Linked DNA regions of Pelodiscus sinensis. The main gene of each other region encodes a partner of the protein of the gene in region 4 in a complex. Links are inferred from orthologs where the notes say so. Each region holds a gene or a part of one and is shown on either strand. Other genes may lie near its edges. The genes, in order: VAMP7, STX18, STX7 and STX5.

The links.
Region 1: STX5 (region 4) and VAMP7 share a complex: the UniProt entries of both Homo sapiens proteins name them as parts of the SNARE complex. The link is inferred for Pelodiscus sinensis from reciprocal best matches to the Homo sapiens genes STX5 and VAMP7.
Region 2: STX5 (region 4) and STX18 share a complex: the UniProt entries of both Homo sapiens proteins name them as parts of the SNARE complex. The link is inferred for Pelodiscus sinensis from reciprocal best matches to the Homo sapiens genes STX5 and STX18.
Region 3: STX5 (region 4) and STX7 share a complex: the UniProt entries of both Homo sapiens proteins name them as parts of the SNARE complex. The link is inferred for Pelodiscus sinensis from reciprocal best matches to the Homo sapiens genes STX5 and STX7.

The regions. Positions count from the first base shown.
Region 1 is NC_134723.1:279,409-286,272, forward strand, and holds the start of VAMP7 (vesicle-associated membrane protein 7), read right to left. Parts: upstream 3,009-6,864; 5' UTR 2,850-3,008; intron 1-2,849. Other genes in the region: DNA-directed RNA polymerases I and III subunit RPAC2-like, read left to right, coding at 6,742-6,780. UniProt on the Homo sapiens protein: Involved in the targeting and/or fusion of transport vesicles to their target membrane during transport of proteins from the early endosome to the lysosome. Required for heterotypic fusion of late endosomes with lysosomes and homotypic lysosomal fusion.
Region 2 is NC_134715.1:110,695,896-110,703,325, reverse strand, and holds the start of STX18 (syntaxin-18), read left to right. Parts: upstream 1-4,411; 5' UTR 4,412-4,538; coding exon 4,539-4,700; intron 4,701-7,430. UniProt on the Homo sapiens protein: Syntaxin that may be involved in targeting and fusion of Golgi-derived retrograde transport vesicles with the ER.
Region 3 is NC_134713.1:94,319,169-94,327,143, reverse strand, and holds the start of STX7 (syntaxin-7), read left to right. Parts: upstream 1-4,971; 5' UTR 4,972-5,128; intron 5,129-7,975. UniProt on the Homo sapiens protein: May be involved in protein trafficking from the plasma membrane to the early endosome (EE) as well as in homotypic fusion of endocytic organelles. Mediates the endocytic trafficking from early endosomes to late endosomes and lysosomes.
Region 4 is NC_134721.1:36,452,211-36,459,642, reverse strand, and holds the start of STX5 (syntaxin-5), read left to right. Parts: upstream 1-4,413; 5' UTR 4,414-4,625; intron 4,626-5,046; exon of another isoform or gene 5,047-5,402; intron 5,403-5,441; exon of another isoform or gene 5,442-5,902; intron 5,903-6,057; 5' UTR 6,058-6,076; coding exon 6,077-6,268; intron 6,269-6,366; coding exon 6,367-6,437; intron 6,438-6,718; coding exon 6,719-6,774; intron 6,775-7,104; coding exon 7,105-7,175; intron 7,176-7,373; coding exon 7,374-7,432. UniProt on the Homo sapiens protein: Mediates endoplasmic reticulum to Golgi transport.

The DNA.
Region 1 (6,864 bases), on a different chromosome or scaffold from region 4:
TATCCCCGGCCCTCATCCAGCTTCCTCCTACCCCCCATACCAACCCTGCCCCCCCTCGTCCAGCTTCCTCCTACCCCCCATACCAACCCTGCCCCCCCTCATCCAGCTTCCTCCTACCCCCCCATACCACCCCTGCCCCCCCTCGTCCAGCTTCCTCCTAGCCCCCCCATACCACCCCTGCCCCCCCTCATCCAGCTTCCTCCTACCCCCAGTAACACCCCTGCCCCCGGCCCTCATCCAGCTTCCTCCTACCCCCCATACCAACCCTGCCCCCCCTCGTCCAGCTTCCTCCTACCCCCCCATACCAACCCTGCCCCCCCTCGTCCAGCTTCCTCCTACCCCCCCATACCAACCCCGCCCCACCTCGTCCAGCTTCCTCCTACCCCCCCATACCAACCCCGCCCCACCTCGTCCAGCTTCCTCCTACCCCCCCATACCAACCCCGCCCCCCCTCGTCCAGCTTCCTCCTACCCCCCCATACCAACCCTGCCCCACCTCGTCCAGCTTCCTCCTACCCCCCCATACCAACCCTGCCCCACCTCATCCAGCTTCCTCCTACCCCCCCATACCAACCCTGCCCCCCCTCGTCCAGCTTCCTCCTACCCCCCCATACCAACCCTGCCCCACCTCGTCCAGCTTCCTCCTACCCCCCCATACCAACCCTGCCCCCCCTCGTCCAGCTTCCTCCTACCCCCCCATACCAACCCTGCCCCCCCTCGTCCAGCTTCCTCCTACCCCCCCATACCAACCCTGCCCCCCCTCGTCCAGCTTCCTCCTACCCCCCCATACCAACCCTGCCCCCCCTCGTCCAGCTTCCTCCTACCCCCCCATACCAACCCTGCCCCCCCTCGTCCAGCTTCCTCCTACCCCCCCATACCAACCCTGCCCCCCCTCGTCCAGCTTCCTCCTACCCCCCATACCAACCCTGCCCCCCCTCGTCCAGCTTCCTCCTACCCCCCCATACCAACCCTGCCCCCCCTCGTCCAGCTTCCTCCTACCCCCCCATACCAACCCTGCCCCCCCTCGTCCAGCTTCCTCCTACCCCCCCATACCAACCCTGCCCCCCCTCGTCCAGCTTCCTCCTACCCCCCATACCAACCCTGCCCCCCCTCGTCCAGCTTCCTCCTACCCCCCCATACCAACCCCGCCCCCCTCATCCAGCTTCCTCCTACCCCCCATACCAACCCTGCCCCCCCTCGTCCAGCTTCCTCCTACCCCCCCATACCAACCCTGCCCCCCCTCGTCCAGCTTCCTCCTACCCCCCATACCAACCCTGCCCCCCCTCGTCCAGCTTCCTCCTACCCCCCCATACCAACCCCGCCCCCCTCATCCAGCTTCCTCCTGCCCCCCCATACCACCCCTGCCCCCCCTCGTCCAGCTTCCTCCTGCCCCCCCATACCAACCCTGCCCCACCTCATTCAGCTTCCTCCTACCCCCCCATACCAACCCTGCCCCACCTCATCCAGCTTCCTCCTACCCCCCCCCATACCACCCCTGCCCCCCCTCATCCAGCTTCCTCCTACCCCCCCATACCAACCCTGCCCCCCCTCGTCCAGCTTCCTCCTACCCCCCCATACCAACCCTGCCCCCCCTCGTCCAGCTTCCTCCTACCCCCCCATACCAACCCTGCCCCCCCTCGTCCAGCTTCCTCCTACCCCCCATACCAACCCTGCCCCCCCTCGTCCAGCTTCCTCCTACCCCCCCATACCAACCCCGCCCCCCTCATCCAGCTTCCTCCTGCCCCCCCATACCAACCCTGCCCCCCCTCGTCCAGCTTCCTCCTACCCCCCCATACCAACCCCGCCCCCCCTCGTCCAGCTTCCTCCTACCCCCCCATACCAACCCCGCCCCCCCTCGTCCAGCTTCCTCCTACCCCCCCATACCAACCCTGCCCCCCCTCATCCAGCTTCCTCCTACCCCCCATACCAACCCTGCCCCCCCCTCGTCCAGCTTCCTCCTACCCCCCCATACCAACCCTGCCCCACCTCATCCAGCTTCCTCCTACCCCCCCATACCAACCCTGCCCCCCCTCATCCAGCTTCCTCCTACCCCCCCCATACCAACCCCGCCCCCCCTCATCCAGCTTCCTCCTACCCCCCCATACCAACCCTGCCCCCCCTCATCCAGCTTCCTCCTACCCCCCCATACCAACCCTGCCCCCCCTCGTCCAGCTTCCTCCTACCCCCCCATACCAACCCTGCCCCCCCTCGTCCAGCTTCCTCCTACCCCCCCATACCAACCCTGCCCCCCCTCATCCAGCTTCCTCCTACCCCCCCATACCAACCCTGCCCCCCCTCGTCCAGCTTCCTCCTACCCCCCCCATACCACCCCTGCCCCCCCTCATCCAGCTTCCTCCTACCCCCCATACCAACCCCGCCCCCCCTCATCCAGCTTCCTCCTACCCCCCCATACCAACCCTGCCCCCCCTCATCCAGCTTCCTCCTACCCCCCCATACCAACCCCGCCCCCCCTCATCCAGCTTCCTCCTACCCCCCCATACCAACCCTGCCCCCCCTCATCCAGCTTCCTCCTACCCCCCCATACCAACCCTGCCCCCCCTCATCCAGCTTCCTCCTACCCCCCCATACCAACCCCGCCCCCCCTCATCCAGCTTCCTCCTGCCCCCCCATACCAACCCTGCCCCCCCTCATCCAGCTTCCTCCTACCCCCCCATACCAACCCCGCCCCCCCTCATCCAGCTTCCTCCTACCCCCCCATACCAACCCTGCCCCCCCTCGTCCAGCTTCCTCCTACCCCCCCATACCAACCCTGCCCCCCCTCGTCCAGCTTCCTCCTACCCCCCCCATACCAACCCTGCCCCCGCCCCACCCCGCCCCGCCCCCTCTCACCTGCGCCGCGGCCTCGCTCTCGGGCAGGGGGAGTCTCCAGCCCCGCGCGCTCTTCACCTGCCTCCTCCTATCGCTGGCCCCGGCCTCCGCTCCGCGAGCACGTGCACTTCCGCCGAGGACGCGCCCGTGGCCGCCGAGCCTCACGGGAAATGTAGTCACTTGCGCGGGGCGGAGCCACTTCGCCCGAGCCGCGCTGTACGTTGGGAAGCCCCCCCCCCCTGCCGCTCTGCATGCTGGGTAGTGTAGTTCTGAGGCGAGCTCGGAGAGCATGGCTGCTCCAGCTGTTGAGCTGTCACGCGCCTTCTGGGGAGACTCACCCGCAGCCGCCAATCGCAGCCAGACTCCAATTCGAAGTCACTGTCCTGTGGCCATAACGCGCCACAGGGCATCCAGACTGAAAGTCACAGTCACAACTGAGTTCAATCCAGACTGAAAGTCACAGTCACAACTGAGTTCAATCCAGACTGAGTCACAGTCACAACTGAGTTCAATCCAGACTGAAAGTCACAGTCACAACTGAGTTCAATCCAGACTGAAAGTCACAGTCACAACTGAGTTCAATCCAGACTGAGTCACAGTCACAACTGAGTTCAATCCAGACTGAAAGTCACAGTCACAACTGAGTTCAATCCGGACTGAAAGTCCCAGTCACAACTGAGTTCAATCCAGACTGAAAGTCACAGTCACAACTGAGTTCAATCCGGACTGAAAGTCACAGTCACAACTGAGTTCAATGCAGACTGAAAGTCACAGTCACAACTGAGTTCAATCCGGACTGAAAGTCACAGTCACAACTGAGTTCAATGCAGACTGAAAGTCACAGTCACAGCTGAGTTCAATCCAGACTGAAAGTCACAGTCACAACTGAGTTCAATGCAGACTGAAAGTCACAGTCACAACTGAGTTCAATCCGGACTGAAAGTCACAGTCACAACTGAGTTCAATGCAGACTGAAAGTCACAGTCACAACTGAGTTCAATGCAGACTGAAAGTCACAGTCACAACTGAGTTCAATCCGGACTGAAAGTCACAGTCACAACTGAGTTCAATGCAGACTGAAAGTCACAGTCACAACTGAGTTCAATCCGGACTGAAAGTCACAGTCACAACTGAGTTCAATGCAGACTGAAAGTCACAGTCACAGCTGAGTTCAATCCAGACTGAAAGTCACAGTCACAGCTGAGTTCAATCCAGACTGAAAGTCACAGTCACAACTGAGTTCAATGCAGACTCCCATCACTTCCAGCTCCCTGCGCTGCACTGGCCAGCAAGCAGCAGCATGTTCCCCAAATGTCTGTCAGACCTTCTGCTCTACCTCGCCCCTGAGAACAGGCCTGCACAGTGTGATGGAGATTCACAGCCTCTTGTTTTGAGGTGGGCAGCCCTGGTACTGTAGCATCTCACACAATGCTGTCTGCCAGAGGTGTAGTAGGACACTGTTCGCCTCTTCTGAATCTGCCCCATATTTCAGCACCAGTCATGCTCAGCTCATCTTTTTCTCTGACTAGCCCTCTGTGCAAGGATGATGTCTGCCTGCAGCATTCCCTGGTATAACCTTGGAGAAGTGACAGGTGTAACTGTGGAGAAGACACAGCTGTTGGCTGCGCTGTCATGGCCTTTCTTTCTTCCTTTGTCACTTTTCTCTCAAGAGTACATCTGTTCTTCCCAAAGCAAGCTTTGGCTTGGTGCATGGTGTTCTGTGTTTCACACCGAGTCATTTCAATTTGTTGGGTTAATGCATCCCTTTTTAACATGTACTTTCAATATATCTTTGAAATGCTTCTGCTTCCCTCTATAAGCCCTTCTTCCTCAATTTAATTGAGAGAAGGATACTTGTTTCAGGAGCAAAAGACAGGACTAGGCAGCACTTTAAAGACTAACAAGATGGTTTATTAGGAGATGAGCTTTCGTGGGCCCACAAAAGCTCATCACCTAATAAACCATTCTGTTAGTCTTTCAAGTGCTGCATAGTCCTGTCTTTTGTTTCAGCAAGACCAGACTAATACGGCTACATCTCTATTACTATGGTTTGAGGAGGTGAGTGATAGGCGTATTCAGAGTGGCCAGTATATCATGACCCGTGTTTCTATGCTGCTGATGTTGGCTAGAGAACACTGACATTAGTGCATTTGGCTTCTCAGCAGAATCTGAGAATGTTCCTGAGGCAGCACTGCTGGAACCATTCCAGTCATGTGGGATGTTTGTAGAATACCAAGGTTTCCTACAAACTGCTTTGTAAACCAAGATCTTACCTGTTTGTAGATAACCAACCCCTACCCATATTTAATTTAAATTTGCGTAGTCTTCCAAAAGATGTGCTGACACAGCAGAACCTGTATTCAATTTCTGTGTCAGTACCAGCTGTTTGGAAGAGGTGGCTGCCAAGGTACAGAAAACGATCCACATTTTCCAGAGGTTCTCCGCTGACGGTGATTTGTGGAGTATGAAGAGTAGTTTGTGCAGGGGAGGGCTGATGGGATACCTTTGTTTTCCCAATGTAGAGAGACAGACCCAGGGTGTGATAGATAACTGCAAAAAGATGTAGAGTGCTTTGCAGATTGGCTTCTGCGTGTGCAAGAATGACAGTCACCTGCATACTGATTAGTGATGCCATTTCTTTTAATCTTAGATTGTGTTTGGAGATATTGGAGATTGAGGAGTTGACCATCCATATGATACTCAATCCTGGTGCCATCAGGAAGGTAGTCATGGATGAGAATCAGGATCATGACAAGGTACATGGAGAACTGTGTTGGACCAATGACACCAACTACCGGGCATTTAAAAATGGTGGCGCCCGGGAACATGCAGATGAAAGCTGGGATATTTAAATCCCGGGCTTCATTTGCAAGTACAAATGACTACATTAGCCACTCTAGTTTGAACTAGGGTGGCTGGTGTAGACATACCCTAGTGATGAAAATGCATAGTTAGGTGCCAAGAACATAGCTTGGTGAGGTACTGTCCTTTAAACGTAAATTACTCTGTAATTTTTACATCTCTTCATTTCCTAATCCTGCTCTCACTGCACCTCTCACCAGTAGCCAGTGTCATACTAAACCTTGGCTAGCTCCTATGAATGCCTCTGAGTGGAATTAACATGGGACAGCAGCAGTGTTACCAACCCCAAGAGTTCAAACTTGAGCCAGGCCCCTCCAAATTATGAGACTGATTTAAAAAACTCAATTCACAAAATCACTTTTTTTGGTTTGGTTTGAAGATTTATAATAGCACATTTGGAGCTCTTTTTTTCTGGTTTTCAATATCACCACTCCTTGCAATTTTCCTGTGAGTGGCACAATATTTGGTGGCTATGTTAGCACCTCAGGTTATGGAATCAGATTCTTTCCTGAACATTTCAGCTTTCATTTGTTAAAAAAAGGTAAATTTTTGGCTCTTTTGGGTGCAGAGAAGAGCTCTAAATTGTGACCCATACACGTACCAGCCCCAGAAAGCAAACAAAAAGAAATCCAACTTTATTATTTTGAAATTTCATGATTTTTCAGCCAATCTCAAGATTTTAGGGGGAGGGGTCTTGATTCATTACTTTTAACACATTTTGAACCTTTTGGCTGCACTCAGGTCATATTTGCAAGCGTCTCTTCAAGAGAGGGCGAGGCACTGGAAGCTGACATTGGCGGGCAATTACACACCCCTTGGCGCTGGGGCATGACGAACTAGAACAAACCGAGACCGCAAGGAGCAGCCCTGCGCTGCCGTAGAGACCCGCGTGTTTATCGGGGCACGAGCTGTCCCGCGGGAAACCCGCCTCACGAGATGCCCAGGAGCGGAGATTCCCAGCGGGCAGCGCGGGGATGCCCGAAGCCCGCCGGCCGGGCTAGGACTACCCGTCCCAGAATCCCCAGCAGAGCCCGGCCCCCGCCAGGCAGCCATGGCCGAGGAGGCGCAGGGGAAGCCGGCGCTGGAGCTGGTGAGTGTCGCGGCCGGGCCGGGGCTGCCCGGCTGGATGCGGGACGCGCCGGGGGGTTCAGGCTGGTGGCCACGTGGTGACCCG
Region 2 (7,430 bases), on a different chromosome or scaffold from region 4:
TCCACTGATTACTGGGCTCTTAAAAGATATTTAGAGCTAAATAACAGCATACACTACTGAGAGCCAAGACTGGTGGCTGTAGTAAAACTTTATGGGACCATGGGAAACGTGGCCACAAAGATGATAAATGGACATCCAGCTAACTTAAATCATGCCAAACCACATATGTTGCCAGACCAGAGAGTGCCAGACTAGAGAGGTTCAGCCTGTATTAATTTCAGTTCTTCTGTGGCAAGTGGCAGGATTTTGAGGCCTCTGCAGAGGTTCTACTCTCTGAGGACTACCATGGGAGTTTATGGGCCAAAAGCAGGATGGGGAACTGTCGGAGAAGAGTTGTAAGTTACAATATATGTAGATCCACCAGCAATTTACACATACGTTTTTTCCCTTCCCCATGAAGGCAACTTACAGAAGTTAGTGGTGGGCTGAGACTAAAGCACCATCATAGTCTGCTGAGTGAGACTGCATTCCCCTCTATGCCTGCAACATCCTCTTGCACAAAGGCAAACTGCTTGTGCTCAATCTGGGGAGAATGAATTTTCCTCAATAATATTAAAAACAACATGTTATTTCTTAAAATTGTCTCCAGCCCTTCCATGGAGTTGCTAGTGTCATTGCTAGACAATTCAAAGTGCAATTTACTATTGCCCCCTCTTCCATCACCAGTGTCCTGTTCCAATACTACCATTGCCCCTCTGCTGAATGGTAACAGCTGTCCAGGGCCTCACAGCTCAGCTTCCCAGTGGAAGAGAAAGCATTGACATAGTAACTTGTTTTATTTACACTTATACATTAGTCATGGAACAGAGGTGGTCAAGAGATTGCATGCAACTCTTCTTTCAGGAATGTAAGCCTAACACCAGTGCCCAGTTCCAGAGGAAAAACCTACTTCAATCAACTAATCAACATGTCTCCACATGGTTGAAAAATGCAGGGGCCAATCCAAACTGGGAATAGCTACTTTTCAGCATACAGCATATGCTACTTTTCTCAGGGCTTGTCTACACTAAGTGATCTCCGAGTGCACTCCCTTTGATGCTAGTAGTCTACTAAGACGAGAAGAGTAGCTGGCATCGATGGGAGAGCAGTCTCCAACCTTACTGAATGCAAGACACCACAGGGAGAATGTCAACTTCAGCTATGCTATTTGCATAGTTGAAGTAGATTGAAGGTGCTGGTAGGTGTAGACAAGGCCTCAGGATTTTTCACACATGGAAGAGAAGTAGCTTTGGTGACCTAACCCCCACTGTAGATAGTGCTAGTTTAATGAAGAAATTCTTCTGTTCACTCTAGTTACCAACTCTTGGGAATGTGGATTATCTTGCAGACAGTGTAGATAGTGTCTACACCAGAGCAAGCGACAGACTTCACTGGGACCTCAGCAAAGTGGGAGGGGAGCTCAACTCTGGGCCCCTAGTAAAGGGCGAGGCCTTGGACAGAATTGGCAGAGTTTTCCGGGGGGGAGTAGCCTTCCCCACCCAGCCCTCAGCACCACCTGGATCATGCTGTATAGGCTCCAGATGCTATTGTCAGTGGCAGTGGCAGTCTAGAGCCGTGGGCCCTTTTAATTGTGGGCTACAGCCCCCCATGCTGCTGTTGGTGACTCTGGACTACACAGAAGCACTGCAGTTAATTTCTATAGTAGTGCACTGCAGCTGTCCACTGTAGCATTAGACATAGCCTAAGAAAAAGAACTTGGACAACAATAACACACTGTAATAGCACCACCTGGTGACACCTGCCATAATATTGTTTATAAGAACACACTGCATGAAAATACCCACCTAAGGCCAGGTCTACAGTTAAAAGTTTTACCGTTAATTTTTTTTTTTTACAACATTGTTATCCTGGCAAAAGCCCTAGTGTAGATGCAGTTATACCAGCTTTTGTTTTTGCCAAATATAGATTGTTTCAGTCATTGAACCAGAAAAAAAGAGATCCTGGCCAAAACATTTTTGTGACTATGTAACTGCATCTGCATTAGGAGGGATTGGCCAGTATTACAATACTGGCAAAATTCATATGCGTGACCCACGCTTTATTAAGTTTGGCTTGTAATGGTTAAGCGTTTACTGTAAGAAACAAAAACAGAATGCTAAGCATAAGTCCAAACTATGCTTTTGGTGAAATATATATCTTTCATGGAAGTAAAAGGAATTAGAGTGCAAAGATTCAAAGACAGATTAAGATCTCTTTTAGTAAATGCAGGAACCCTACCAATTTTTATTTTACGATTCAACTGAAGAAAAATTAGTCCTCAAACCCCAGTTTTGATAGAACTCCTTCAGGGAGCCCTGTTGATTTTAGTTTCAGTAGGGCTCACTCCTCCCCACCACAACTGTATAGGGGCCTCATTGTAGAATGAAAGGTCACTCTCTTCCCCCAGTGAGACAGTCTGCCTGTGGCATGGAGAGTGATAACCCCACGGGTACTGGAACAGAGGATCTCACTGGGGTTGGAGGGGAGACTCATACCCCTTCCCCTGCAGCAGTGAAAGATTTCCTGGAGGCTCACCCCCTGCACACTGAGGCAAAGAGGGGCTCCCCTCTCCCCCCACCACCAGGGCAGTGCAGTAAGGTAACCTTGCAGGCTCGCTGCCCCCCCCCCCCGCACACCCACCCACACTGGGCACTGCAGGCTCTCCCTGGGGGGTCCCCCCACACCGACACTGGGCACTGCAGGCTCTCCCTGGGGGGTCCCCCCACACCGACACTGGGCACTGCAGGCTCTGCTTGGGGATTCCTCTCACACCCACACTGGGCACTGGGGCCTCTCCCTGGGGGTTCCCCCCACACCCACACTGGGCACTGCAGGCTCTCCTTGGGGGTTCCCCCCACACCCACACTGGGGCACTGCAGGCTCTCCCTGGGGGCTCCCCCCACACCGACACTGGGCACTGCAGGCTCTCCTTGGGGATTCCTCTCACACCCACACTGGGCACTGGGGCCTCTCCCTGGGGGTTCCCCCCACACCCACACTGGGGCACTGCAGGCTCTCCCTGGGGGTTCCCCCCACACCCACACTGGGCACTGGGGGCTCTCCTTGGGGGTTCCCCCCACACCCACACTGGGCACTGGGGGCTCTCCTTGGGGGTTCCTCCCACACCCACACTGGGCACTGGGGGCTCTCCCTGGGGGTTCCCCCCACACCCACACTGGGCACTGGGGGCTCTCCCTGGGGGTTCCCCCCACACCCACACTGGGCACTGGGGGCTCTCCTTGGGGGTTCCTCCCACACCCACACTGGGCACTGCGGGCTCTCCCTGGGGGTTCCCTCCACACCCACACTGGGCACTGGGGGCTCTCCTTGGGGGTTCCTCCCACACCCACACTGGGCACTGCAGGCTCTCCCTGGGGGTTCCCTCCACACCCACACTGGGCACTGGGGGCTCTCCCTGGGGGTTCCCCCCACACTGGGCACTGGGGCTCTCCCTGGGGGTTCTCCCCACACTGGGCACTGGGGCTCTCCCTGGGGGTTCCCCCCACACTGGGCACTGGGGGCTCTCCTTGGGGGTTCCCTCCACACCCACACTGGGCACTGGGGCTCTCCCTGGGGGTTCCCCCCACACCCACACTGGGCACTGGGGGCTCTCCTTGGGGGTTCCCCCCACACCCACACTGGGCACTGGGGGCTCTCCTTGGGGGTTCCTCCCACACCCACACTGGGCACTGCGGGCTCTCCTTGGGGGTTCCTCCCACACCCACACTGGGCACTGGGGGCTCTCCTTGGGGGTTCCTCCCACACCCACACTGGGCACTGCAGGCTCTCCCTGGGGGTTCCCCCCACACCCACACTGGGCACTGGGGGCTCTCCCTGGGGGTTCCCCCCACACTGGGCACTGGGGCTCTCCCTGGGGGTTCTCCCCACACTGGGCACTGGGGGCTCTCCTTGGGGGTTCCCTCCACACCCACACTGGGCACTGGGGGCTCTCCTTGGGGGTTCCCTCCACACCCACACTGGGCACTGGGGCTCTCCCTGGGGGTTCCCCCCACACCCACACTGGGCACTGGGGGCTCTCCCTGGGGGTTCCCTCCACACCCACACTGGGCACTGGGGGCTCTCCTTGGGGGTTCCCTCCACACCCACACTGGGCACTGGGGCTCTCCCTGGGGGTTCCCCCCACACCCACACTGGGCACTGGGGGCTCTCCCTGGGGGTTCCCTCCACACCCACACTGGGCACTGGGGGTTCCCCCCACACCCACACTGGGCACTGCAGGCGCTCCCTGGGGGTTCCCCCCACACCCACACTGGGCACTGCAGGCGCTCCCTGGGGGTTCCCCCCACACCCACACTGGGCACTGGGGGCTCCCCTCACGCCCACACTGGGGCACTGCAGCGGGGTTTCCGCGGGGCGGGGGCCTGGGAACGTGCCAGTTGCACTTTGTGCCACCCCAGCGGCTCTGCGCTCCCTGGCGGCTCGGGGCGGCGCCGGGGCGGATAAGGCGGCGGAACCCTGCACGGCGGCCGGAGTTGTGCGGGGAGGACTGTGCGGGTGACCCACGCGGGGCCGGCGTGCGAGGCGGCAGCGGGGTCGCTATGGCCGCGGACATCACGCTGCTGTTCAAAGCCAGCGTGAAGACGGTGAAGACCCGGAACAAGGCGCTGGGGGTCCCGGTCGGCGAGAGCGGCCGGGATGAGCTGCTCAAACGGGGCAGCCAGCGGCCCAAGAGCGACTTCTCCTGCCGGGCCCGCGAGGTGGTGAGTGCGGGGGAGGGGGTGGCGTGGAGGTAATAGAGCAACTGCCCGTCTGCACAGCGAGCCCCATCTCAGCTACAGGTGCCCCGCAGCTCGGTGCCATGCAAAGCGATGGGGGGAGGGGGGAGGAGAGTCTCTTATCCCCCCCCCCCTCCGCCCCGTAGTCTTTTCCTTCGTGCACTTGGCAGCCCCCTCCCCTGCGTGTCGGTCTTTCCCCTTTACAGCCCCCGTGCATCCGCAGTGACCAGGCGGTGGCTCTGCGTGGCTGGTCGGGCTGCGGGGGGGGGGGGGGGGGGGCTTTTAAAAGTTCCCATTAAAACCAACGTGCTGGGCAAAAAAAAAAAAACCTCCCACAAACAACTGCCCGGTAGTCGTTCGTTTACTCTCGGTTGTTCGTGGGGGACTTTTACCCAGGAACAGGAGAGAAAGAACACAAAAACAAAATAATAGCCAGCAGTATGGTTTTCAAACTCAGCAATTGGTGGGGGACGCAGGAGAACCTAAAACTACTCTTGTCCTGACGCTTAAAAAAAAAACTGATCAGCTTTCAGGTTGACATATCCCTTTAAAACTAAGCCCTCCCCCAAGTGACTTGGCAGAGGTAAGGCATGTATATTGCTTATAATGACACGTAGCAGTCTCTGGTGATATTATATAGCCTCTATGCTGTATTCATTATTAGGGTTAATTCTGTTGCATGCGAGTACCAGAATTCCTCCTTTTTTGTAGCCCCTGCTCCTGCAAACATTTATGCTTGAACGTAAATTTACTCAGAAGAATAGTGACATAGTAGTTACTAGATCTATTCTTGTGACTACAGTTAAATATACTATGTGCACAATTAGGTTTTTAGAATTGGGGCCATATAACTGTTGAAGATGTATGTGTATGTTCTGTGTGCAGATAAATATTACATGCTGTACTAATACAGTGTCCTAACCATGTCATAAATTGTATTTACAATGAACTCTTGAGAGCTTTACCTGTCTTCTGTTCATTAATCTCTCTCCAGATTTTAGGCTATCATTCCAACCCATTGAACAGCTTTAATGAATTGCCACTTTTTAAAATCAACTACCAGAGATATTTTTATTGCTGGAGTTGCAGTTTTTAAAACAGTAGGCTAAATTAAATCATGATTCAAATTATGAAGCCAGTGGAGTTGTACCTCTATACACTAGAGCTAAAGTAACCTGATAGATATAAACAAAAATATATAGCCTGCAGCTATTGGAAACAAAAATATGTGTATTAGAGAATATATTAAGAAATATTGACACTTTTTCTGGAGGGTGTCAGCAGAATTGCACTTTTTGGCATAATGTCATGGGGATATTTTACTTTTGACAATATTGGTTATTTGCAGAAGAATGAATTTAGAGGTGGGAGCTAGGGATGTAATAGTGTAGTTGATTAATTAACTGATAAGCAAAAGGTTATAGGTTAATGCTATAGAAGACATGCATTTCCCTCTTTCTCTCTTCCTGCCAGTAAATTTCTGAGTCCTGGCTTGTGATGGGTCCAGGACATACCCCTACTGCGGCTCTGCATTTAATGTGTATTAGAAGCCAGCCAGGCAGGCAACCCAGTTCAGTTCTGGCTCATGCCAGGTTTGGGAGCTTAGACCCCCACTAGACAGGGGCTGCTGCCACCCTGCGCTGCTGCTTCTTTATCAGAGGCAGCAGCACGGAGCAACAGGCAGCTGGTCTGCGAGTGAAGCTTGTTTTTAAACTGACTTCCCTTGCGGACCAGTGTCTGCCTGGCACCCTTTGCTGCTACCTCTGATACAGTGGCTGCCAGGCCTGCCCCCAGGGACTGTAGAATAGTTGACTAACTGATAAGAATTCATGAGGTTACTCGACTACAGGGCATCCTTGCTATAAGTTGCCCCAGTATATGTTGCTTCTGAGCTGGCGTCATTGATGCTTGTGGGAACTGTTCCGTTTTAAGTCCTCCCATTCTCTGTTCTGCACTAATTGGTCTTTTTTTTTAATGACGGAAACGGATGTTAGTCACAGGAAGAAAATTCCTCGCTTTACATCCCTTTGCTATACGTCTACTTTTTTTTAAATGTATCTTGGATGTACAGTGCGGATGCCCTATATTCAGTTAACCAATATTTAACATGAGAGAGCCTCTGAAATAAATATTCTAATTAGAAGTAGTAATGATCCTTTTTATTCAGTTATTTATGCACTGAGACTTTGCAATCTAGCATAGGTGGTAACATTATTTAAATTAAAATCTGATTTAAAGACTATTATGTTAATTTAAAATAATTAATAAAGTTACAGTGGCAATTTGACTTTATCAGAACTGGAAGCTTGTCTCAGGAAATCTCTCATCTTGAATCACTTAAACCTGTAGTCATAAGCACAAGAAAACTTCATATTCCAGGCTTCTGGGCAATAGCATGAGTGCATTCTAGGCAAGTGGAACTGTCAGATATCCTGATAGAAATGTAGCCGTGTTAGTCTGGTGTAGCTGAAACAAAATACAGGTCTATGTAGCACTTTAAAGACTAACAAGATGGTTTATTAGATGATGAGCTTTCGTGGGCCAGACCCACTATTTGATCTGAGGAAGTGGGTCTGTCCCACAAAAGCTCATCATCTAATAAACCATCTTGTTAGTCTTTAAAGTGCTACATAGTCCTGTATTTTGTGTCAGATATCCTGTCTGCCAAACAAGTACAATGGGGTTGACTGGTAGTGGATGCCTAAAACCATGCAC
Region 3 (7,975 bases), on a different chromosome or scaffold from region 4:
GAACACTGTGCACTGTCTAGAATACTCATTCTTTTAGGATGCTGTAAAAAACACACCTGTTTGTGTTGCCTTTCCCATGAGGAAGAGAAATACGGAATGGTCAGGAGCATGAATTTCAAAGATGCTGAGTACCCACACCTCCCACTGACTTCAGTAAGAAATTTGGGGGGCAGTGCCTCTGAAAATGAGCCCCACCTTGGTTGTTTGCCTTGCTCCCTTTAGTTTTCCTCTTCCAAATACAGGCAGTCCCCAGGTTACGCGGATCCAACTTACGTCGGATCCGCACTTACGAACGGGGCTTATCTTGCCCTGGAGGACGCGGGCGGCAGGACCGCCCAGACGCACTGCGGTCCCGCCACCCACGTCCTCCGGGGTGAGAAAAGCTGCTCCGCGTCTCCCTGGTCTGCTGGGGGGAGCCCAGCAGACCAGGGAGACGCGGGCGGCGGGACCGAGATGCGCCATGGTCCCGCCGCTCCGGTCCTCCGTGTCTCCCTGGTCTGCTGGGGCGGGGGAGTGCAGCTAGTGCGCCCCCTCCCCCCCCCCCCCCAGCAGACCAGGCTTTTCTCGGGATGCCTGTGGTAGAGCAGTTGGGGCACTGCCGGTTGGTCCCGCAGCGCCGCTCTCGGCGCTACTGGACCAACCCGGCAGCACCCCAGCTGCTCTGCCCCAGGCGTCCTGATTCAGCCGCTGCTGGTCAGTTTCAGCAGCGGCTGAATCAGGACGCCTGGGGCAGAACAGCTTGGAGCAACCCAGCAGCACCCCAGATGCTCTGCCCCAGGCGTCCCCAAGTCAGCCACTGCTGAAACTGACCAGCGCTGACTACAGGAAGCCCGAGGCAGAGTTGCTCTGCCCCAGGCTTCTTGGAATCAGCCGCTGATCAGTTTCAGCAGCAGCTGACTTGGGGACGCCTGGGGTTCTTAAGTTGAATCTGTATGTAAGTCGGAACTGGTGTCCAGATTCAGCCGCTGTTGAAACTGATCAGCGGCTGATTCCAGGAAGCCCGGGGCAGAGCAGCTCTGCCTCTGGCTTCCTGTAGTCAGCCGCTGGTCAGTTTCAGCAGTGGCTGAATTTGGACGCCAGTTCCAACTTACATACAGATTCAATTTAAGAACAAACCTACAGTCCCTATCTTGTACGTAACCCAGGGACTGCCTGTATGGGCACATGAACCTGATTTTGACCCACAAGAAGCAGAGCAGATGCTCCCTAATCAAATGTTTATTTAACCCTGAATTTAACACTCAAATACTTTGAAGATGGAAGCTATAGAAATAAATAGCTGAGATAATCTGTCAGAAAATACTGATCAGAAGCATTTCCTTTTCCCTTTTCTTGGGCCAACTGGATCTGTTTTGTGATCTGCCTCTCCTTCCATTCTGTAACATCCTTGTGGCCACAACTATTGCTTACTTGGAAGAATAATATTAGGTAAATATTTAATGTATTTGTATCTGTCTTGTAACATAGAAAAGCTGCTGGAGGCAAGGAGGAGAATACAGTAACAGTGCATACCAAGAAAATCTCCAGGGGCCATCAAAATCCTGCACAACACTGTTTGGGAACTTCTGCCTTATTTCATAAGTGTCATACATTTCTATCAGAAGACATGAAATGCAGACAGAGGTATCCATATGTTGCAAATCAAAGTGAACTGCTCCCTAAGTTACAAAGTGTCTGCTCTGAACAAGACATTTTTTATCAGAAATACAAATCCAAAACAAAATGCTCATATATATATATATATATATATATATATATATATATATATATATATATATATATATTTGTATATTGCTTTGACAGAAGAAATGTATTATGATCTCATCTGAGTCCATGTAAATCTAGAATGACTGTACTGAAAGCACTGAAGTCATATTGGTGTAAAACCAATGAGAGATCATATTCAAGCTCACGATCTTCAGCTAGCAGAGGAGAGTAGTGTAACGTCACTATTTTGCCATCTAGTGGTAAATACTGGGTTATCCAAAATATACTACAACTGTAAGGAAAATAAAGTAATACAAACAGTATTAAAATAATTGCCAATCAGAATGAAATATTAAACCCAAAATGAGCATGCATACAGAATGTATGTAGCATATGATAGCATAAATGTCCAGGAGTGCCATTTTTATTACTTTTTATGTATAAAAGTCACAGCACCTTTGCTTGCACAACAGAATTCCAAATAGCTAGAGCATGAAGAACTCACCTAAATCCTACCAATCTACTTTGTTCCACCTCTCTAGCATGCTTTAACACAATGAGGGGCAACCTCGGGTAGTGAGTGGACTGCACAAGTGGCCCTCCTTCACCTCAGTGGGCTGCAAGAATATTGTAACTAAGACGGTCTCCCAGGATAGGGTAGTTTTGCTAACTGTGCTTACCTACCTAGCATTTGCAAGGTGTGCTGTTTGAACTGTAACAACACTTTGATTGGATACAGAAAGCACACAGGTCTCACAATGTTGTGTGCAATCAGCACATACTTCACTTCACATGCACTTGCTTTAAGTATGTGTCACTTTTTAAATATTGGTAGAAAAAAACACTCAGCAGATGAAAAGCAGTGTAATCCGGCAATCCTGTGCATGAGCAACAGTAAACAAAACGTCTCATGGGCCACTCACAGAACCACAATGGGCCACATGAGTCCCTTAGGTTGCTCACTGCTGCTTTAGTAGCTATAACTAAATACTATCAATGGCTACGTCTACACTGGCATGAATTTCCGAAAATGCTTTTAACGGAAAAGTTTTCCGTTAACAGCATTTTTGGAAAAGCGCGTCTAGATTGGCAGGATGCTTTTCTGCAAAAGCACTTTTTGCGGAAAAGCGTCTGTGGCCAAACTAGACGCGGTTTTCCGCAAAAAAGCCCCGATCGCCTTTTTCACGATCGGGGCTTTTTTGCGGAAAAGAGTACTATGCTGTCTACATTGGCCCTTTTGCGCAAAAGTCTTTCGGAAAAAGACTTTTGCCTGAACGGGAGCAGCATAGTTTTTCTGGAAAAGCACTGATGATTTTACATGAGATCGTCAGTGCTTTTCCGGAAATTCAAGCGGACAGTGTAGACAGCTGGCAAGTTTTTCTGCAAAAGCAGATGATTTTGAGGAAAAACTTGCCAGTCTAGACACAGCCAATTTATTTAAATTAACTGAAGAGAGGGCACCATGTCTGTAATAATCAACCAGATGGAAAAGTTATGTGGAACGAGTATTGATATCAAAACGTTAGCAAATAGTTTTTGTCTGGGTTTTTCTTTTTCTTCTAAGTTGTTTTAACTTTTCACTGTTATTGTATTATGGTAGCAGCTAAAACCTCCAAGCAAAGCTCCACAGTGCTACACAGCTAAAACAAACACATAACAAAAACAGTCTGTTTCCTAAAGAGCTCACAGGTTAAGTAACTTTTATGCATCTCTGCCATATTTATATAAGCATATATTTGGAATTAGAAGGGTTTTGTTTTGTTTTTCTACAAAGAACATTGGACTCCAATTTCAGACTTCGAATGAACACTTTCTCAAAATTAAAAAGCCAGTGAGAAGATTCTTGATATCCACAATAATAAAGTTGTAGAACTGCCTAGAAGCCAAAGATGACTGGGAATAGAAGACATCTATAGTGGGTGGAAACAACTATCATTAAACATTGAAAAGACAGAAGTGGGTGGAGCTGTGAACTGCTCCTCTTCTAATTACCAGACTCCAGGACTGAGGCTGTACAGTTCCCAACTTCCTGCTCTGCAGTTGCAGGTTCACAGTATGTTAGAGGAGGACTGCATGGCTGAAACTGTGACTATCCACCTGCTTTCTGAGGGAACAGAGTCCAGCTGTAGAAAAAGATTCCAAAACTGGAGACTCTGCTCACCAATTGAGAGCAAGAATGTGTATGTGTAGAAGCTGAGTTCTCTTAGGCTCAAGCCCATTCTGTAGTGGAGGGTCTGTGGGTGAGAATGCGGCCAGGCTCCTCTGTGTCCAGTTAGAATCTAGAGCATTATTCCTCAGGAAGACAAAGGAGCTGGATCTTCTACCTGTTCGCCTGCATTTTTAACCTGATTTTGAGGTCTCGGAGAGCATTGCTACACTATGGAGAAGACTGACCCTCGGGAGGTCAATTTAATGTTCAAGTTAGCAGGTCTAGCGTAGATTCCCAAATTGAACGCTGAAGGCAGCCCCCACCGGGGTCAGGGAAGCTGGTGGGAGTGTGTGCTCCCACCAGCCTCCTGCAGTGTAGACGCTGCAGTGGCTCAGTTTAAGATAAGCTGATCCCAGCTAGCATTTCGTGTAGCTGGATGGAGTACCTTAAGCCAATCTGCCTGGTCTAGTGCACTCAGGGCCTAAGATAGTTGGGGGCTGGCTCTTCTCTTCCTTTCCTCCTGGGCACTAGCTCAATTAGGAGCTCTTTAATCATCTGAAATTAAAAAAAAAATCCTACAAAGAGGGGAAACATGGCTGAATAGTTAAGGAAGAAAGGATAGTACAAGCATGGCAAAACAAAATCAGACAGGGTAAGGCACAAAAGGGGTTACATGTAGCAAGGGGCATACACAAGGCAATACAATGAGAGGCTTGACATACATCGGGAGCAAGAGAAAGATGAAGGAAACTATAGGTCACGTGCTTAACAAGGAAGGCGAGCTAATAACTGAGGGCATCCAGATACGTGAGGCGCTGAATGCTCAGACCCAGTCCATAGCCAACATCTTGGCTGCAGAAGATTCGCCAGGAGCTGAGCTTGCAGGGCTGAGCGCTAGGCTCTGAGCGGCAGCAGCTCCGCGAGGCAGAAACGCTCGGGCCGTTGAAGGAGTAAGAGATCCGGAGCGACTAGGCTCCCACCCCTGCAGCGGGCTCCCTTAATGACGCCTGACTGGAGAGGCTCCCGCTTTGCGCGCTCAGGGGGCCGCCCGGAGGCTGCAGGCGGCGGCGCGCCGGGCTCAGCCCGCTAGGGGGCGGGAAGGCAGCTGCTTGCCGCGTCACTGGGCCCAGGCGAAGGGGCGGGGCCGGCGAGCTCAGCCCCGCCTCCTCTCCCCGGGACTCTTCTGCTGCAGCCGGAGCCGCCGCTCAGCTGAGCGGTGCCGTGCGGCGTCCTGAGCCCGGCTGTGCTGGGAGGCGGAGCCGCTGGGGCCTGGTAAGAGGCGCTGGGGGTGCAGCGGCGCCCAGGGGAGTCGCTGCGCTCGCTTGTCTTTCCGGGGGTGCCCCCGGGGGGTGCCGCCCTGCTCCCGGGCGGCTCCAGCTTCCCCGCGGCAAGGGGGCGGGCAGCAGCGGGGGCCGCCCTGCCCGCGTGGTGGGGGGCGGCGTGCGGGTGCGGCACAGCTCCCAGCCCCGCTGGCGAGAGGGGAGGGGCAGGGCAGACGCGGCGGCTGCCCACGGGAAGGGATCGGTTCCGCATTCCCGCGGCCCATCGCCGCCGAGCTGCAGCCCGTCCCTGCGCCCGGCTGCACCCGCGGCTGGCTGGAGAGCGGGTAGCCCTCGCCCGTCGGGGGCACACGCCCGCCCTGCTTCCCACCTCCTTGGACTGTTTCCCCAGAGCCAAGAGCGACTCGTGCACCCCAAGAGGGTTGTGCGAGAGCCGAGTCTGGGTGGAGGCAGTGTTTGTCATGTGCGGGTGTGCCCTTGTGCTTCGTGCTCCCACAGAGGGAGGGTTAACGCTCAGGAAGGAAACGCCTCCCTCCCGCCCCTTCTGTCTTCCTTTGCAGCCCTGCAGTTGTTGCAGTGTCAAAGAATTGCAGCATTTCTTTCTCCTGACACTGAGCAAAGAATTTCTTGGAGCAGTGATACCCCCAAACTGTTATTGTATATATCCCTCTTTAGGGATTGTCTACCTGGACACGTAGAGGGTGTAGAGGGTGCCTTCACTATGCGTAGGCAACGATCAATCCAGCAGGGGTAGATTTTTTTTTTTTTTACACTATAAATTGATGCTGAGTGCTCACCTGTTGACTCCAGTATGCCACCAGAATGAGAAGCGTAGGTGGGGTAGATATGAGTTCAACTTACTGTGGTGAGCATACAACAATAAGTAGATCTAGGTATGTCGCTGTCAGCTACGTTATGTTTATGTAGCTGAAGTTGCACAGCTTGGATCCATGGCCTGCTGTAGGGTAGATAGATTGGGCCCTAGTTTGCAGCAAGTTGAGACATAAGCTTGTCTTGCATTAAGAGACTACTGTGTGCTGCCAGGCACTCATGGGTTCCTTGTCTACTTCCATTTCAAAGTGGGATAGAGCAAAGTGCAGAGCTGAGTTTTTGATATGCTGCTGTTTGACAAGCAGGTATTGTAGAGCTTTTGGGAAGTTGCTGGACTGCCTGTGTGCAGAAAGTTAGTGTATGAAAACCTGAAAGTGTGAATCCTTGATCTTTTTTTGTGCTCGTTATCACATCCACTACTTCACTGTTTTAAAGCATGTGTATATATGTTTGTGTAAATAAGTTAATGTGCCCTCTGAGTCTGCTGAGTCTGCTATCACGTAGCTACATGCAACATAACAAAAATGTTTGTTTTTACATGTGGCTCTTGAATACATTAGTAGATTCTAATGCTGGAAGTGACCCAATTGTGATCACCTAGAAATCAACACACCCCATAGAATTTCCCCAAAATAATCCCTAGAACATACAGTATCTTGTAAATTTAGAAAAACATCCAGTCTTGAGTTTTAGATTGTTAAAGATGACCTTTGATAAACTGTTCCAGTTGTAATTACTCAGTGTTAATGTATGCTTTATTTCCTGTCTGAATGTTTCCACCTTCAACTTCTAACCATTGAATTAAATTGCTCTCTTTACTTGAATGAGGATCCTATTATTAAATACTTGTTTCTCCATGTAAGTACTGAAACTGTAACCGGGTCGTCCTTTACTCTTGATAAACTCCTTGAAAGGAGTTCTAAGTACGGTAGGCGTACTCTAGTCCCTTAATGCTACCCTGAAAAGTAAGAACCCTTAAACAAGTGGTCCTGTAGCACTTTAGAAATTAACCCCAAAAAAAGTATCATGAGCTTTTGTGAGCACAACGCTCTTTTTCAGATGAGTGGAGCTAGAGGGGGGGGGTTCCAACCTGGGGCAGAGGATTGGGGTGCAGGAGAAGGAGTAGGGTATGAGCTCCAGCCAGGCAGTCCTTACTTCTGGGCAGCAGCACAGCAGGACTCAGGCAGGCTCCTTACTTTTCCTGATTCCGTGTGCCTCCCAGAAGCGGCTGCCATGTTCTGCTCCTAGGTGGCGGAGCTAGAGAGCTCTGTGTGCTTCCTGTGCCCACAGGTACTGCCCCCATAGCTCTCCTTAGATGCAGTTTTTGCTCAGTGGGAGCTGCGGAGCTGGCACTGAGGATGAGGGCAGTGCACACAGCTTCCCTGATAGCTCCTAAGGGCCGCAGAGACATGCCAGCCGCTTCCAGGAGATGCAGAGAGCCAGGACAGGTATGCAGCCTGCCTTACCTCCTGTGCCATTAACTAGACTTTTATGGCCTGGTCAGCAGTAAGGATGTAAAATCCTGTTTAATTGGTTAAATGCTTAAATGTGATGCTTAACGGGTTAAAGGGGTGGGGAGCAGGGAGGCCAAAAGAACTCATCTTAATTCTATTTTCTGATATTTCTTACAAACTAAAATGCATCACAAATCAAGGCTGGGCAACAGTTTTTGATGTGGGGCTGTTCCTAAGAATTTGGTAAGTGGTCAAGTGCTGCACTCCTAATATTAAGGGAGGAGGTGCAGGGTATGGAATGGAGGTTGGATGAGGGTAGGTGAGTGGGGCATAGGATCTGGGAGAGGGCATGGTTGCAGGAGGGCATTATAACATGGAGGTGGCAGTGCAGGATCTAGGAGAGGCTTGTGACCTGGGACAAGGGTGCAGGAGGGGAGTGTAAGGATTTGGGTTGTGACTTAGGGCAAGGGGAAGGGCTGTGACCTGGGGCAGGTGAGGGGGGAGGGGAGACGTGGTCTGGGAGAGAGACGTATGCAGGATCAGGGGGGCAGAAG
Region 4 (7,432 bases):
TAAAAGGGGTAAAAACAGAGGTGAAAGTAAGCAGGTGCACCCTGGCGTACAGCTCTGGCAAGAGCTGGCTGAGCTGTGGCACAAGCCTGAAGGGAGCTATTTAAAGAGCTGGCAGGGGCCCGAGTTGCAATAGGACTATACCTGTAAGAAATTTTAAGTTACTTTCACTTCTGAGTAAAATAAAAAAAGATTTATTTCATTAAAATCCTGTATCAGCTCCAAAGAGGAGCCAGAATAGGTTGTGTTTTCTTTTTCAGATGGCTGTGTACTTTGGAAACAGAAGCAAACCCAGAATCAAGGAAGATCAGTAAATATAAGAAACTAAGCTTAACCATTCAAAATACGTCCAATAGTTTTTTGTTTAACCATGGTATAAAGAAAATGTTATCAAGGGAGTACAAACCTACGTGGCAGTGTTTTATAAAAATAGAAAAAGAATAATTCTACTAAAGCTAATTGTATACAAGATTAAAATGCCTTAAAATAAAAATCCAAATAATGATTTAGGGCTAAATCTATTAAGAAGATATTGTATAATAATGGGTAACTTATTCATGCACTAATTTTACTGAATTTCACTGTCACTGCAATTTGGTAAAAAATGGCTACAGATCATTAAAAGGACTTTACAGACAATAATTTAAACTTTAAAATGCTTAAACCCGCCAAGATGGGACAGCAGCAAAACTGAAGGGAACTAATAAAATTGGCAAACTAAACTAAACTATTTGGGATTGGTATGTCACTTTGAAACCAAGCTCACATAGAGTGGCTGTGGGAATATGAGCAAGCATTTTAACAGAAGTTAGCAGCAGAAGGATTGCATCCACTAAATGAGGAAGTGTTTTCAACAAGTTAGTACCTAGAATATTGTATTTTCAAAATTAACAAAGCAAAGAATTTATTGACAAAAAAGCATTGAATTGTTTCATAGGCATGATGTGGTCATTTTTTGTACATGCACATGATAAAATTAATTTGCTACCAGGAAAGATCAAAAACAATAACACTAATAATATACTATAAATACATGCTATATAAAGTGAAAGCATCCTTAAATGACAGAAGAAAGAAGATTGCCCTCTTTTAGCACCACAGAAAAGTTAAAGATTTGGTACAAGGGAGGCAATTATAATAGGTGCAAGGCAAGAAAGGAACAAGATTACAATACCATAAAGTTTGTGAAAAAAGAAAGCCTTGACCAAAGTGTTACCAGTGTGAGTACTGGAAAGTACTGTGACACATATGCATGGCTACGTCTACACTGGCGGCTTCTTGCGCAAGAACAGCTGTTCTTGTGCAAAAACTTGCTGGGTGTCTACACAGTACACACGTTCTTGCGCAAGTAAATTTACAGTACAGCGTCAGAAAACAGGGCTTCTTCCGGAAGAGTTATTCTTCTCCCCACGAGGAATAAGCCCTCTTGTGCAAGAGCTCTTGCACAAGAGGGCAGTGTAGACAGGCGACATGAATTTCTTGTGCAAGAAACCCCTATGGCTAAAATGGCAGAAGACCATATGGCCATAGACTGCCATAGACGCTCTTGCGCAAAAGCACGTCTCTTGTGCCAAAGCACATGCCAGTGTAGATGCGCTCTTGTGGAAGACTTTTTGCGCAAGAACTCTTCCGCAAAACAGTTCTTGCGCAAGAAGCTGCCAGTGTAGATGTAGCCATGGTGTTGCATGGTAGTGACAAGATCTGGGTTTGCGCCTGAGGACCTTTCATGGGTGGGTGTAATGTCTTACTGTCACAGCTGCCAGCCTGTAGGTTCACTCTGAGGAAGCAGTCTCCAAACCACTCAGTATGGCTGAGACACTGGGAAGCTGGTGAAGTAAAAAGTGCCTATGTTGCTAATGGCCAGTATCGTGTGGTGACGGGAAAGGGCCATTTCTACTATGGACACAGAGGATGCTATTTGAATTGGCTTATGTTCTATTTCACACCTGAATTTCCAGTGGTGATAAATGGAAAGATTTATATATTTTATACTAGTTTTGTATAATATAATTGAAACATAGGCAAAGATAAAATTGCAGAAGCATGTTTTAAAGGCAGAGCAAGCTTATAGGCTATGTCTACACTCGCGGCTTCTTGTGCGAGTAATATGCAAATGAGGCTAAGCGTGGCATATCGCCAAGCCTCATTTGCATACCTAATGAGCCATTTTTTTCAGAAGAGGCTCTTGCGCAAGAAGGAGCGTCTACACTGCCCCTTCTTGCGCAAGAAAAACCCTCTTGCGCAATGCTGTTCTTCCTGAAAAGTAATAGGTGTAATGGCTCCTTCTTGCGGAAGAGCCTCTTCTGAAAAAAATGGTGGCTCATTAGATATGCAAATGAGGCTCGGCAATATTCCATGCTTAGCCTCATTTGCATATTACTTGCGCAAGAAGCCGCGAGTGTAGACATAGCCATAGTGTGGAATTACATCCATAGTAAAGGTGGTTATTTTAACGGTTTGGTAATTACATTATTGTGATAATTATTCTGTTAATTCTATATTGCAAAGTTTGGCAGTTGGATACCATTTTCCAAAATTGTAGAAGTATGTTTGAAATGCTTTAATGTAGTAAAACCCACATAGTATGTTGGATTTCAAAGTGGGGAATGTAGAATAAATAAAAATTAGGAAATTAAAGTTAGCTTACATTCAGCTGAAGAAAGATGTGTGTTGTAAAGAAAGGCCACAAAAGTAATTAGTTACAGGGCCAGAAGCGATGAAGTAGGGCGGATGCCTGGTTCAAAGAATAACTAATGAAATGAAAGGATATTTCTGAAGAGAAGGCCTCTGACTGGGAGGGGTGATGGCAGATAGTTTTAAATAAAACAAAGAGATTCTGTTTTAGCATGAGCCAACATAGCCCTTCCCACCGCACCAACCAATGTTGTTATAAAAATTAAGAGCCCCGTGTGAACCCAGGAGCAAACAGGTGAAACTAAGCAGATGCACCCTGGTGCATAGCTCTAGCAAGAGCTGGCTGAGCTGTAGCAAAAGCTAGCAGGGAGCTATTTAAAGAGCTGGCGGGGACCTGGGTTACAATAGGACAGTACCTGTAGACATTTTTAATTTACTTTCACGGTTGGACACAAAGGAAAAACTGTTGATAAGCAGGAAGGAGGGAAAAGAGGTTGTAAACATTGTCTGGATTAAACCAGGGAATAAAGATGACCTGTCTCCAATTGGTTTTAACTGTAGTCTGTACCTGGCTTCCAGACATCACTTGTTTGTTAAAAGGTTATCTCAAAGTTTTGTGCATTGCCAATATACTGTCTGGCCATGTTGAAGCTGACTGGTACCCCCTTGGTTTAGATCATTTGTAAGTTTCTTGATCAAATATTTATGAATGTTTTGTTTTTGTCTAGATGTGGCAAATTGCTTATTATTTAGGCCTTGTAGGTATGTTTTGAGCAATTGTATAAATATTATTTGGCTTTTGGATTTAATAAAGGAATTAATGGTTAAATCAGTGTCATGATAATATCTGTATAAATAATCCCAAGCAGAGGGATGGCTGGGCAGTCTGGTCAACATGCTGATAGTCTACACTCCTCCTTTGCAGACAGCAAGCGCAGGCCTAGGTGCAAGCAGCTGCGGATCGCGGACTCTGCCCCAGCGGTGCGTTCCTCGGACAGCCTCAAGATCCGGATCATTTGGAGACGCGTCTCCATCTTTGGCAACCGGCGTGATTCCATACGGAGCACCAAGAGCGCTACCTCAGTCACTGCGCTGCCGGAGCCCAGCGAGTCTGACCCCGAGAACAGCCCTCTGAAGGCTGGGCCCCCGCCCCACGACAGCTGCCTTGCAACTAACAGAGATGGGGAATAAACATAACTTTCACAGCTGTGTCTGGGCTGGGCCTTCTGCCCTGGACAGTACTGGGGACCAGGCCCCCATGTTGGGGGCCTATAGGGGCAGGCTTGGGGAGCAGGCCCCCATGTTGAGGGAGGCTGTAAGGGAGAAGGTCCCCACAGAAGGGGGGCTGTAGCGGCACTAGGAGAGTGGTGAAGCACTGGAATGGGTTACCTAGGGAAGTAGTGGAGTCTCCATCTCTAGAGGTGTTTAAGTCTCGGCTTGACAAAGCCCTGGCCGGGTTGATTTAGTTGGGATTGGTCCTGCCTAGAGCAGGGGGGTGGACTTGATGACCTTCTGAGGTCTCTTCCAGCTCTATGGTTTTATGATGGGGGGCAGGCCCCCATGTTGGGGGGGCTGAAGGGGCAGGGTTGCAGAGCAGGCCCCCATGTTGGGGGAGGCTGTAAGGGAGAAGGCCCCCACAGCAGGGGTAGCTGTTGCTGTAGGGTTGGGAATCACGGCAGGGGGGGCTGTAGGGGCAGGGTTGGGGGGGTAGGACCGTAGTCCCTGCGGAGTGTGTTTGAGGAGCCCAGCTCCGAATGGGCCGTTTGGGGCCTGGCCCGGGCCCGTGACCCGGCCAGGCCGCCGAGCCGAGGTCACCAGGGATCAGAAAGTTCGCGGATAATCGCGGCCCCTTTAAACTCTCGCTCCCCTGGGGAGGGGGCGGGGCACGTATGTGCGTGGCGCGTTGACGTGTTACGCGAGGTGTACGTGGCAGTGACGTAGTTCCCGGCCGGTGGGGTCTAGGTTGCAACGACCAAAGCTAGATTCGCGTCTCGGTGAGTCGCGGGGCGGAGTCGGGGTCTCGCCGGTAGGGGTGGGCCCAGCTTGGGCAGTCCCCGGACCTCTCTCCTCCCCGGGGCCCCGCGTCTCTCCCTCCCTCCCTCCCTCCCTCCGCTTTGGGCCCCCGGAGGGGCGGCGAGTCCCCCCCGCGCCCCTCCGGGCTCCTCATGTTCTCCCGCTTGGGTCGCCTGCCCCGTCTCCCCTTGCAGGGCCTGTCCCCGGCGGGTCCTTACAGCCTTTGCCCTGCGCCTCCTGCCCGCACTCCCTGCTCTGGGCCCGGGGCTTAAAGCGGGCGGGGGGCAGGTTCCCTTGGGCTCTGCCCCCCTGCCGTTATTTGCTCTTCAGTGCAAGTCAGCCCCCCCCCCCCCCCCCCGTCCGCGCGCTTCTTTCCCCGCCTCTGTTCAGTGGGCTTAGCGACTCTGAGCGCTGCGCAGAAGCGGGGTTGTGGGGCAGCTCTCACCAGAAACTCAATAGGCAGATCGTGGGCCAAGTCTGCGCCCCCAGATGTTTTTAAATAAGTCACAAAGTCTTGTTATCATTGTGGTGGTGGTGGCGGCGTGAAAAATGTTTCTCTGGAGAGTGGACCTTGACTATACCTTGATCAAGAAATTTAGACCTTCACCAAAAAAATTGGACCCTACAGGGAATGGATAGAGGGACCTAAGTGCCTTCATGGTTATTTACCCCCAGTCCTGCCTCCACTTGTGTGTATCTCTGATCCTAATTACCTGGTTCAGACACTGACTCCAACAGCCAGGATCCCTGCTTGGTGGGTAAGGAGCTTCCGGGGTATTGGAACAATTTGTACAGAGTGCATCTTGAGAGCCACTGAACCAAATTGTAAACCCTTCCTAGGATGGAAAACCACTTCAAGGCAGGGGGATGCAGCTGTACCCTTAGCAGTGCTAGTTTGTGCACCTCTGGGAGCTGCTAATGTCTGTCACCAAATAGTCTTGTTTGTCTGGACTTGGTTGAGGCTGCTCTGGTGGAGACTGGAACTCACTGAAATCTGGGACATGGTGGGATTGATTCCTCTAGGAGGCTTCTGCAGTGGGGCAGGGGGTCTCTTCCTGCTGACATGCCTGGCTCTTCCCTTGCACAGTGGGCACCACAAAGCAGACTCCTCTCTGAACTGCAGATGAATTGCAGAGGAAGCCTTTACATATATCTCTGAGCTCTGGGAGCCTTGACCCCCATTTGGATTTTGCATCAGGAGCTGCTTCTGAATGGGGCAGGCAAGAGTGCCTTGGAACTGCCTGGCCTCTTTGCTGTGGTGAGGAGAGATGAGTGGGACTGGGCAGGTGATGTGATAGTGAGTGTGCTTGAGAAGAGAGGGAGGAAGAAAGGGTTAATGGGGACTGGTGAAGGGTGGAGTTTGGTCCTTAGCTATTAACCAAGCCCCTGAACCCGTGGCCTCCCCTCCCCTAGCACCAGGTTATGAGCCTCAATGACTACGAGAAAACGCCACGGCTCTAAGAACACGCATCAGGGCGTTTATCTGGGACCTTCGCAGACACAGGAGCTGTCCCCATCTGCTACCACAACTGTTGCCTCATCCCTGCCCTTTCCGGACACCATGTCGTGCCGCGATCGCACCCAGGAGTTCCTCTCTGCCTGCAAGTCCTTGCAGAGCAGACAGGTGAGTCTTCATTTCCTGGGGGTGTCAGGCCCATTCCTTGCTAGTGTGGGGGATTCTCTGCTCCAGAACACCTCAGTTCAGTCTGTCTCTCCTTTCAGAATGGGCTGCAGCCGAACAAACCAACCCTGAATGCCATGCGCCAGAGGAGTGAATTCACTGTCATAGCCAAGTGAGTGGGGTGAGGGCTGGACTAGCCAAGATCTGGGGAGGGAGCTCAGCAGCTGGATAACCTGGGAGTATGTTGGGCTGACTCAGGATCAGTGTGCCGGGAAGGGATCTTGTGGGATGGCTATAGGCTGGTTTGCCTGGGTTGGGGCTGAGAGGGGTTTCTCCTTGGGATCAGAGCTGAGCTAAGGAGGAAGTGCTCTACTGATGATTTAGTCAGCAGGCCCCAACTGAGGAAGCACAGATCCCACCCTTACTCTGGTCTCCTGTTCTGTTTCCTCCCAGGCGCATCGGCAAAGATCTCAGCAACACTTTTGCCAAGCTGGAGAAGCTGACCATCTGTGAGTGGCCGGGGAGGGGAGGAGGGAGGGAGGGAGAGGGTGAGGGCTGTCTGGGGTATGGGCTCCTTCATGGAGGGGCTGCTGATAGCACTTGGGGTTAACATGGCTTCTTGCTTTTTTTATAGCCATTGTGAACTGGAGATTCTCACTCAGTTGGGATGGGCTTTGTGGCTGCTATGGAGCAACAAGGGAGGGTAATTGATGCTGGGCCTGAATGGGGGAGTAGTTCTGACCCTGGGGGCCATGATAAAGCAGGGCACTTGTGGTAGAGGAAAGGAATCCCTGTCAGGCCTCATAGGACACTCCCTGACCATACCCCTCTGTCCTCAGTGGCCAAACGGAAGTCCCTGTTTGATGACAAGGCAGTGGAGATAGAGGAGCTGACATATATCATTAAACAGGTTAGTGGGAGCAGGGCTAGCATCTCCTGGTGGCTGGGAGAGATGGCCTCTTTATTTGGAAGGTGGGATGGGGTGGGCAGGAACAAAAGGAGCTGGAGCCTATGAACAGCAGCCTCAGCTGGGTGGGAGCCTAAGGGCCACTGGGACCAGGTGGGGGTGTGGGCCACAACTGAGACTGGAGCAATTTCCCTCCCCCAGGACATCAACAGCCTGAACAAGCAGATTGCCCAGCTGCAGGAGTTTGTGCGGGCCAAGGG